2 linked regions of the Drosophila melanogaster genome follow. The protein of the gene in region 2 interacts with the protein of the main gene of each other region in a pairwise test. Each region holds a gene or a part of one and is shown on either strand. Other genes may lie near its edges.

Region 1 (5,453 bases), on a different chromosome or scaffold from region 2:
CCCCCCACAAACTCCGTGACCATCCATCCGCCCACGGGCATGTTCTGTGGCTCCTGCGTGTAATTGCCGTTGTAATGTCGCCCGACGCGAATATAATTGCTAAAATGTTGCATAAACCGACAGACGTGCCAATGGCCAATGCCTCTAGCTCCAACACCGTCGCCGGTTGTCCCTTCCTCCGACTGCGGATCAGAGTCCAGGTCGCGTCGACGACACTTTTCCATTTGAATTTAATTTTAATTTACGCCCAACGGCCGGCGCTTCTGCTGCTCGTGATGCCCATTGCCATTTTCCGGAAATTGGCAACGGCAATGGCCAGAACATTCCGCATTCCGGACGTGGCCCCTGGCTTTTGGCCCGGTAGTTGAATCTACACATGGAGAAAAACAAGTACATATATGAATATACAATTTAACACATTTTTTACTGTCCAATAATTAATTTATAGTCCTTTTTTATTAACTATTTACTTAATATGCACTTAATATCATATTTAAATATACATTTAAAGAGCTTGATCAACTACTTTTAAGTTTTTTTTTGCAATATTTTGCACCGTGTAAAAATGAAGCTTAGAGTGGCACTGCGGTTCTGGCCACGCTTCTGACCAAATTTGAAAGGGCTGTCCGCACCGTTGAGTTAATGAGAAGAGACAGAGGTCGAGAGGAGAAGAGAAAAGGACGAGAAAAAAGGATAGACGGGAGGCCAAAAGGGAGAAAGCCGTCGACAGACATTTTATGTGCAACCGGCCGAATTGTTAGAAGAACGGCCAGTCTAATTGAAGCGAACTCAAGCAATTAGTCGATGAATTGAAGCAACAAAAGTGCTGGAACGGAGAAACGTATAAATTTAGATAAAGCTGAATTGAAAATAAGTTAGATTCATCAGTTTTCCGAGCATGGAAATTTATGAGGAACCTTAAAGCCAGAAAAGAAACTCGATTAACTCTAAAAGGTATACAGTATAGTGATATAAACCAAGGACTTGGAAACCGAAAACGAGTCAATTAGTTACATTAATAAATTCACACTTAAGATTTTAGTATGTATCCAAAACTAACCGAGCAAAAAAAAGCTTTTTGGTAAAGCAACAACTCGGCTTTTTACCATCGAAAATCAACCGTATCAGAGCTAATGAAAAATTTTTCCCATATTAATTAGTAGCCTAGTTTCCTATCTATTCACAAACTCCGAATTTTCCACTCTCGGTGATTCAAAGTGGGCTGAATTTTTATGACGCCAACTTAGTCATCGCCATGCTGTCTCGGGGACTATGAGTAATTTTCCGCTGGCAAAAATCGTGCCTCCAAGGGCCGGAGTCATTAAGTGCAGACCGGGAATTAACAGACAAATAAAATTAATAAAGAAATAAAGATAATGCATGAGAAAGATGACGCCAAGAGCAGAACGGGTAACTAAAGCCGACCGATTTAATGAAAACAATTTTCCAAATTTGGCAAAACTATTAACCACGCTACGTTAATTTCATTAGCAAGTCTGTCTTTCTTGTTTCGGTGACCGTATTTTATTCACATACACCAAAAAGTACATCTATGTGGCAGCCATTAAATGCGCTAATTAGTTGGTCAATTAGCGTATGCTTTACTGGATTGTTTTTGGCTCTTTGTTTGTTGGCCCAAAGAGGACGGCTTTTTGGGTGGCGGAGCGTCAAAATCACAGTCACCATCGCATTTTGGACGTCAGCGGTTCAATCGCCCAACTGTCGCCACATTAATAAATCAGTTTAATTTAATTCAGTTGACAGCTTTAAGTCAATATTGTTGATTAATTGTTTTCTTTTAATTTCGGTTTTTTTTTTGGTTTTTGGTTTTGGTAACCTGCAGCTGTTGCCAAGGGGCAAATGAACACTTCACCGTTCATTAACAGCATTTCATTTTTGTTAATTAGCTCACTTTGGATCCATAATTCTTGTGCACATTGGACGGGTTTCCCGGCTTCAGGTTTTAAATGGAAAATAAATCGAAACCCTATTGTTTTAATAATTCATAAGCGGCAGTCAGCTTAATACATATATATGGACTATTTTTGCATTTAAGTTTAATTATTACATAAATACAAAAATTTGTAATTTTGAACATTCAATTATCATGCTTTTATTGCTAGGATTCAGTATGATTTGAGGAATCAGTTTCAGATTTTCTAATCTCGTCTAGGGCATCGCTCCAGGACATGAAGGCATCCGGATCATCCTCGCATTCACTCTTAATTCTCTCCGATTCAGAATTTTCGAATTCGGCTAGTTTCTGAAGACGAATTTGCATACGGCGTTCCACTTCCTCAGTGCTACTAGGAATTCTTTTTATAGGATTATCCCTGCCGAAAAAGGACGACTCACTTTCCGAAGGAAATGGTGAGTTCCTCGCAGAGATTGGCGAATCGATGGTGCTGAGATCACTGACACTGGCCGAATAATGGCTAGAGTTTATATCAAATTGCCTGCCTGAACAAGTAAATAATGAAAAGCCATCTCCAGCTGCCTTTGTCGGTGGTTCGGGTGGCAATTGGCCTATTTTGGCCATAAGACAACGACCACGGCACTTAAGCTTATCCATTTTGAGCAGACGAACGAGATCCTCGCGGGAATCCATTTCCACATACGCAAATCCCTTGGGTCGCTTTCCCTTCTTCGGAATGGTTAGAGAACGGATCGAAAAACTGGTGAACACTTTCCGCAACTCGCCTTCAGTGCACTCCATTGGCAAATTGCTGACCAATGCCACAAATGGTGGTTCCATTGACACCTCCTCTTCCGGATCGGGTGTACTGACCTTTTTCTGCAGATCTGAATTCGATTTTTTGGGCCCGTCGCCGTACATGAAAAGCTCTGCGTTGTCCACCTGGGAAGTTCGCACCTTTGTCACGTGCAACATGTCTTCCAATCCTTGCCCGGATTCGCTGCCGGAGACCGAGGACACGGAAGAGGAGCTGACTGGTGGCAGCTTGAAGCTACGCGATGACTTGGACATCTTTGCCATCAGTTACCAACAAATAAAGAATATATGTATTATTGATATAATGAGAACGTGGGTGTATTTTCCTTGAAAACTGGGAATGTTTTCTGCTACAAAAAGCAATGCCAATTTCGGCACAAAAATGTTTCTGTGTACATTAAATTTTACAACTATAAGTAAAGGAATTATTGAATTATGATGATTATAATTTTATATTAAACGAATCTTTTTGAATTGTATATATTTCTAGCTGCTAATGAACTCGAATTATTGATTCATCAACTTAAAAATGAAAAAAGATATGTCTTAAATCCTGATAAAATCATGATTGTTTTACATAAAGCAAGCTTTATACTTCATTTTCTCAGCATAAGTTTCATTCTTGAATAATAAATTGCTTTTTTCGCGTTCTGTCAATGCATAATTATAGTTGGTTGGCCAGGCAAAATGCTCGATTGAATATTCCCAGGCTGCGGATCGCATTCAGTGCAGCACCTGCTCCACAGATTCAGTTATACACATATATCGACCATCGGACTAGACAAATGCCAAGGTTCGCGGATCCCAACTGGCAACTATCGGCGTCGGTTGGAAAATATCAAAAGTTCAGCAAACAAGTGGCATGGAGTTGAGTTAGGAGTTTCGTAGTTTGAGTTTGAGTTTGGCTAATGCACGGATTGTGTCGTTTTCTGTTTGCTATTTGTTAGTTTGGTCGGTACGGTTGGTTTGTTGGGTTGGGTTGGGCCGAAACGAGCGAGGATGGAAGGAGGTTTCCACATTAGGCAACTGGCAACGGGCTACACCCATATTCCGTGGAAAATTGGGTGCGTTGGCCAAACACAAACTAAGGTAAACTGATAAAAATCATGGCCTGCAGCATGAGTGCGCCAGTACGAGTGTTATGGGCTTTCGGGCCAAGTAACCCAGCCAAGTGCCTGTTGCCCAGGGGCCTCGAGCCACACTCGTAGTACGTGTCTGGGACCGGGTATTACCAACAGACAGCGGACAGGCTAAAATATTAGGCCAATTATATTTCAAAAATTTACATGACGATGAAGTTGACGATGCCTGGGTCATCTATAATCCAAGCCATAGACAGAGAGGGTTCCACTTCCACACGAAAGAAATCCACACTCAAAAACATGGTTATATCATAAACATCAACATTTAGAAATTATAACATTGAAAATGATAGCCCTATATACATATATTATTATTCTAGATTAATATTAAATTAAATTGTATATATGTATATTATAATTACCATATCTCATAGAAGTAGCAAATATTTCAATATTCCGTAGCTTCTGCAAAAAGGAACTTCTCTTTTATTCATTCATTTCTTTTTTTCAGTGCAAGTACAGTGTGTACACGAAGGAAGCGTCAAGTGGCCTCCGCCTTCACGTTTTTTTTCCACACTATCTTGATGCTCTCACCACGGAACGTGCACGGGCATAAGTACGATGTCTGGAGAGCTACTCGTATCTGGGCACTAGGATCGCTTTCAGCTACATGGAATTTTCTTTCTTTTCGCTTAATTTCATAGAAACAGTCTGAATGAAATGTGGCAAAGGTGCAGCGAAGGTAATTAATTTCGAGGATTAGGCATTAGATTTTTGGCGATAGCAACGTGTCCCATAATTCTCATATCGAGGGGCCAGACGAACACGTCCGTAGACCCTATCTATCTACAAGGCATCTTTAACTCTACCGTCTCCTTTGTGGGTCACCAGAGGGCAACACATCGAAATTAATAATTGAATAGGGTTGTATGATTTGGATTAGGTGTAAAAAAGAACTTGGATTTGAGGTGCATATCAAATAAGGTTCAGTACCAAGAATGGTATCTCATGCATAAATATGTCATCATTTTAGACATAACTAATATGGAAACATAATAAACGGAATAATATCACAATTAATAAGCGGTTTTAAAACTTTAAACTTACAATAAATAAGTAATTACTCGTCGCCTTTTTAAAGTGTTAATTAGCTTTAGTCTACATCCCTTTAAACATCAAGTCAAAACAAAAATCGTAATTTCTTGATTGTGTTCGGTAATTGATGGAAAATCTGAAGAAGGGGCGGTACCAAAATGAAAACCGTCATCAGGTAAATGCAATTAGCCCCCAACTTGGATTTTGATTGATGTATTTCGAATGAGCTGCGCCAGGAAAATTAATTAGCTTTAAATTATGTAGGTAGCCCAGAGACTGAAGAACTGGCGGCCTGGCCACACCCAAAATCATTTCCCGGTTCTATTCCGAGCTTCGAATAAGCTCGAGCACCTTATTAATTAATCAATTGGCTTTGGCAAATTGTCTCGATTGGAGCAATTATCATGATTTGGTTAAATGCAGCTTATGGTGTGCTGGAAAATGCTCATTAAGGGGTTCAACAATGGGGATAACTAATTGTTTATTTACTCCCCTGCTACCCTTTAAATATTCAAGTGCATTAAAAAGCTAGCTATGTGCTGTTA
Region 2 (5,429 bases):
CAACTTACCTTCGAAAATCGCTTAACATTTTCTCGGGCGTTAAGCTTGCCTTCAATTTAATCGCACTTTTCGCTGGCACTTTCACAAGCCCGCGCTCTCTCTTTTGCTTATTGTTCTCTCGCTGCAACTCTGCTGCTGCTGCTGCTGCGGATGGTCACTCTTAATTGGCAACTGTTTTTTATATTTTCTTCCTTTTTGGGCTTTGGGCAAGAGATTGCCTATTGCTATTTAGAATGTTTTCAAAACGCCAGAATGCACAACACAATAACAACAACCGAACTGAACAACTGAGCTGCTGCACAGAAAGCAGAACAGCAAAAGTGGTGGCAATAGTGGCGGAACAAGAAAAAAAATTATAAATGCGAGCGAACGAGAAAGAGAGAGAGGAGCAGCGCAACCAGGTGGCAACTCGCTCTGGCGATGATTTTCTACCCAACTGTACCACACACACACATGCACAGCGACCCTGTGTGTTTTTGCTTTTCTCGAGGGCTTTTTTCGGCGTTTTGCTGGCGAAATTCCACGCGATCGGCGACACAAATCGTTTGGCTCGACTGTAACTGCAACAGCTGAATGTGCGCACCAATTTGTATTTGCTTTCTGACACGATTAACACGATTATGATTGGCGCGCTCGAAATGGTTCGCTGTCGATGGAAAAATGGAACTGGAAAGAGAGGGGAGGATTGCTGTAATACGGTGTTGTATAGCGTCCGTCGGTCGGTCGGCCAGTGCTGCAGAATGTCTGCCAGCCCAACTGCCCCATCGGCCACAGACACCGATTAACACTGATTTTTCTAATTCTCAACTGTCCTCTTTAAATGGCATTTATTTTATTTAACATCAACAATTGGGCTACATCTACTTGAGGGCCGAGGGCTGTGGGCAGCGGTACTTGGCCATTTCCACCTCCGCCTCGGCGTAGCTAAAGCGATTGAAGCTGTAGTATTCAGGCACCTTGTAGCCACCGGTGGCGGAGGCACCTGGTCCAACGGGTCCGCTGCTGGGCTTCACGCAATTGCTGGTCAGTCCCACAACCGATGGCGAGGATGCGCCGCCCGATGGCGAGGATCCGGCTCCAGCTGGAGATCCTGAGGCGCTGGGTCTACCGCCGCCGGAAACGGGTCCGCCCTTGATCTGGCTGTAGCAGCGGCTGAGGGCTGGGCGCAGGGCACGTGAGGGCGAGAACATGTTGGACTTAATGGCTGGCTAGCTTGCAGCGTTTAATTCGCAAAAATAATTCACGTAATCACGTATCAACAAAGTGGACGTGTTGGGTAACGCGGAAAGTGCGCTTATTGGCGAGGAATATGGCAAGGCAACGTACGAGCGCGAAGCTGCCACCTGGCCGCAAAAATATGCATAAAATAAAAGTGGTCATATTTTAAATTGGTTTAAATGTTTAAATTATTATTTACACAGTTAAAGATGCTGGCAGTGCTGGTATAGTTATATATTATATAATTTAAGCCTGACGTTAGGGCTAGAATAGATAAATTGATTTTTAAACAGTGCCATCCTTTGACTAAGCTAGTTTTAGTATTTAACTAAGAGCTATATAAACAACTATTTTCTCGTCTTAAACTTGGGCTGCGCCTTGCCGTAGTGCTGATCGATGTGTGAAACGGGCGCGCGCCTCTTGTCGTTGCGCTCCTTTTGCGATTTTGTTCGGCATTTGACGCTGGCGGCGCCCGTTTGATTTTTGCCCAACTGATGGAACTTCTTGCGCTCCTCGCGAATATTCTTCAGCCGCTGGCGTTCGTCCTTCAGCTCCTTGTAGTTTTTGGAGGCCTTCTTCAGCGGCTTGGCGCCCAGCTTGATCAGCTGAAACATTTCCATTTTGCTCTTGTTTTTGATCACACGCTGGTTTTTGATCGCAAAATTGAGCACCTCGTGGCGCGCCTTCTTGATATCGAATTCGGGATTCAGTTCCATGCCGCCCTCCTTGGTTTTGTGCGATTTTTGGACGCCGTCGTCCTGCTTTTTTGTTCCACTTTTCGATTGGAAGTGCGATTCGTGGAAGACGTGTGCCTGAAATTCGGTGTTCTCCTGCTTCTTTTGCAGCGCCAACGCTGCACGCGTGGGCACCGGCTTAAAATCGGCGCTGACGTTCATTATGCTTTCAGTTTTCTGTGTTTATTTGCAGCAATAATAGTGAAATCAAAATATTGAATGCACATGTACAGTGCCAAAATGTACTAATTCCCACGTAACGCCTCGGTCCATCTGGCAGCGCCGTTTTTCATGAATGTTGCTTGTAAGGTGGCGCTTTTTAATGTCCTTATTACGTCACAAAATCTTTTTATTTCAAAATATGTTTCAGAAAAACTGCTCAGCTTGCAGTCTATTGCTATTTATTAAGTATACAATTTCTTTACATTAATTTGTAAAATTTCGTACTTATTAAAAGCATAATAAGATCTTATTGAATGGTCAACTATTATAATATTTAAAATAAATTTTTTGTATATTAAAAGACATTGATTTTACTCATTTTGCTTTTGCTTTCCGAGTCCGAATCCTCCGACCAAAAATCATCTGGCAAACAAATCGCTTTCCAGCCCATTGCGTCCGCATCGTCAGAGATGGAATTCTGCTCATCCAGCTGGTTGAAGGGACTGGCATTCAAAGGACCCGACCAACTCGCGACGCGACTAACTGGCGGTGGAATAAGGCAATCGGAATTCTCCTTCCGATACGTTCGAGCCTTCAGTTTGTTTACTGCGTTGGGCAATTGCGGTACAGGCACCTCCTCCTCGTCGTCGTCGGGCGATGAAGTGGAATTGGGCACATTTACGATGTAGCTAATGGGATCCAGGCGGATCCCTATGGTTTTCTGGGAGGATCGGCTGTGTGGTCGCGTCAGATGTGGATTGCCCTCTCGACGTCGCCGTGCGTTTCTATTTTCCGTCTTGAGCCTCCCGTTTGCCGACCTGCCGCCATTGATGACGCTCCTCGTGGATATATTCACCGGGGGCGACTTTCGCCTGGCGGCCAGCTTCTTCGGATGCGGAATCCTGTAGCGACCATTCGCGTAGTCATTGCGCGGACTGACGAAAATTCCAGCCAAATATTTAAGCATTTTCCAAGAAAGTTTACTAAGAATTTAAAATAATTGCAAGCGACGCATAAGCTCCGATTTTATTTCTGACGATCGAGAAATGTGACGGAAAAATGATTTGTTACAAAATTTGGAGAAGAAATTTTGGAAATGATTAATTTTATGGTTTTCAAATATAGCATAGTATAGCTAGGACACAAACCCTTGTAATTCCGCATAGAAAATAGTTGGGATGATCCGGCAACGCAGTGCGGATCGAAATAAAAAAGAAAACAATGCGCTCGCAAGAAAATTGAAGCAACAACAAATAGCCGATAAATCAGAGCCAAGGGACAAGCGCAAAATGGCTAGGAACACGGGCAGCTCCTCGGGCTCCACGCCCGCTGCATCCTCATCCGGATCGAGCGCAGCAGCAGCAGCGGCGGCGGCAGCGGCAGCAGCAGCGGCATCCAATGCCAAACAGAAGCAGCGCAGCCCGCGTTTCAGTTTATCCTCGAATTTGATCCTGGACAAATGGAAAACGATGATTGGTTGCGTTTGCCTGGCGATAGCCTCGTACTTCGGCTATCTGGGCTACCTGGAGACGCGCGTTAACACGCCCTTCGATCACCAGAAGATGGTGGTGCATGCCGGCCTGGAGCAACCGGATCGCTACTGGGGCTCCTACCGTCCGTTGACGTACTTCGGCATGAAGACCAGGGATCCGCACTCGCTGGTCATGGGCCTGATGTGGTATACGCCCAGTAATCTGGGCCCCGGTGGCCAGGGCATTCGACACTGGTGCGAGCAGGGCGATAAACTGGACTCGTACGGCTGGACGCATCACGATGGCCGCAGTTTTGGCGTTCAAGAGATCCAGGATCTGCCCTTCGAGCTGAAGACCTCGTTCGTTAAGTATCCAGAGGGCAAGCAGTACGGCGGCGATTGGACTGCCAGGATATCGGTGAGGAATACGACAAGGGCGTGGGACAAGAGCATCTCGCTAATCTGGTATGTGGCATTGGATGAGCGCACCAATGGACACATTAAGTACGTGTCGGACGACAAGAGTCCGGAGCCGGGCGTCTATGGTGAGGCGCAGGGCCTGGGCGAGTTCCAAGTGCGTTTCCATGCCGTCAAGGGCAAGATACTGCATAAATCCTATCTCAGCACGGTGGCACCGTCGCTGGCCAAGCTCAAGGATACGCTCTTCTCGCACTTCCGCGCCTTCGCCGACAAGCGTGGCAATCGCTTCATCGGCCTGCCCGGCGAGATAGTCTCGCAGAATGGCCTGCCATCCTCCAATCCGGAGCCCAATTTCATAGCCATACAGATAACGGCGGAGGTGGACTTCACGCTGGACATTACGTACCAGTCGACGTCGGGCTTTTCGCTTGGCGAGTCGATACCCAAGCCGCCGACGGGACGAGCCTATCAGGATTCGCTTCAGGCGAAAATAGCACAATTTGAGCAGCGTTTCGAGGATCGTTTCCAGCTGAAGCAGAAGGGTCACTCGCCGGAGGAGGTGCGATTTGCGCGCAACGCATTGAGCAATCTGCTTGGCGGCATTGGTTACTTCTATGGCTCCAGTCGCGTGCAATCGGTGTACACAAAGAATCCGGTGCCCTACTGGAAGGCTCCACTGTACACGGCCGTGCCGTCGCGTAGCTTCTTTCCCAGGGGCTTCCTTTGGGACGAGGGCTTCCACGGCCTGTTGATCAGTGCGTGGGACATCGATATCGAGCTGGATATCATATGCCATTGGTTCGATTTGCTCAACGTGGAGGGCTGGATACCCAGGGAGCAAATCCTGGGCGTTGAGGCGCTGGCCAAGGTGCCCGAGGAGTTTGTCACGCAACGGAATAGCAACGCCAATCCGCCGACGTTCTTTCTTACGCTCAAGAAACTGCTGACCAGCCACCGGGCGGAGTTGTCGCAAAACGGCAGATTGGCCACGCTGGAGCGGCTCTATCCGCGTGTCCAGGCCTGGTTCAATTGGTTCAACACCACGCAGAGGGGTAAGTCACTTAGCCACCTGCCATCGCTTTCTATGTGGCGTCTACTAACTAACTGCTCCATTCTAGGTGAAGTGTTGGGCACATATTTGTGGCGCGGCAGGAACGCGACCACCACGCGCGAATTGAACCCCAAGAGTCTGTCCTCCGGCCTGGACGATTATCCGCGCGCCTCGCATCCCACGGACAAGGAGCGTCACCTGGACCTGCGCTGCTGGATTGCCCTGGCCGCCGGTGTGATGGCCGAACTGTCCACGCTGCTGGGCAAGGACGATGCCAAGTACTACGAGACGGCATCGTACTTAACGGACAATGTGCGTCTGAATCGCCTCCATTTGGCGCCGTACAGCGAACAGTACGCCGACTGGGGCCTGC

Evidence for each region. Proteins that work in one complex are often made in the same cells at the same time.
Region 1: the proteins of CG1738 (region 2) and CG11726 interact in a two-hybrid assay, tested with the Drosophila melanogaster proteins (one large-scale study listed by BioGRID).

The regions. Positions count from the first base shown.
Region 1 is NT_037436.4:11,392,313-11,397,765, reverse strand, and holds CG11726 (uncharacterized protein), read right to left. Parts: upstream 3,077-5,453; 5' UTR 2,996-3,076; coding exon 2,120-2,995; 3' UTR 2,093-2,119; downstream 1-2,092. Other genes in the region: CG44362 (uncharacterized protein), read right to left, coding at 1-224.
Region 2 is NC_004354.4:11,345,857-11,351,285, reverse strand, and holds CG1738 (uncharacterized protein), read right to left. Parts: upstream 2,238-5,429; 5' UTR 2,115-2,237; coding exon 1,566-2,114; 3' UTR 1,439-1,565; downstream 1-1,438. Other genes in the region: NdufV3 (NADH:ubiquinone oxidoreductase subunit V3), read right to left, coding at 861-1,190; CG11756 (uncharacterized protein), read right to left, coding at 2,470-3,081; GCS1 (glucosidase 1), read left to right, coding at 3,404-5,057, 5,124-5,429.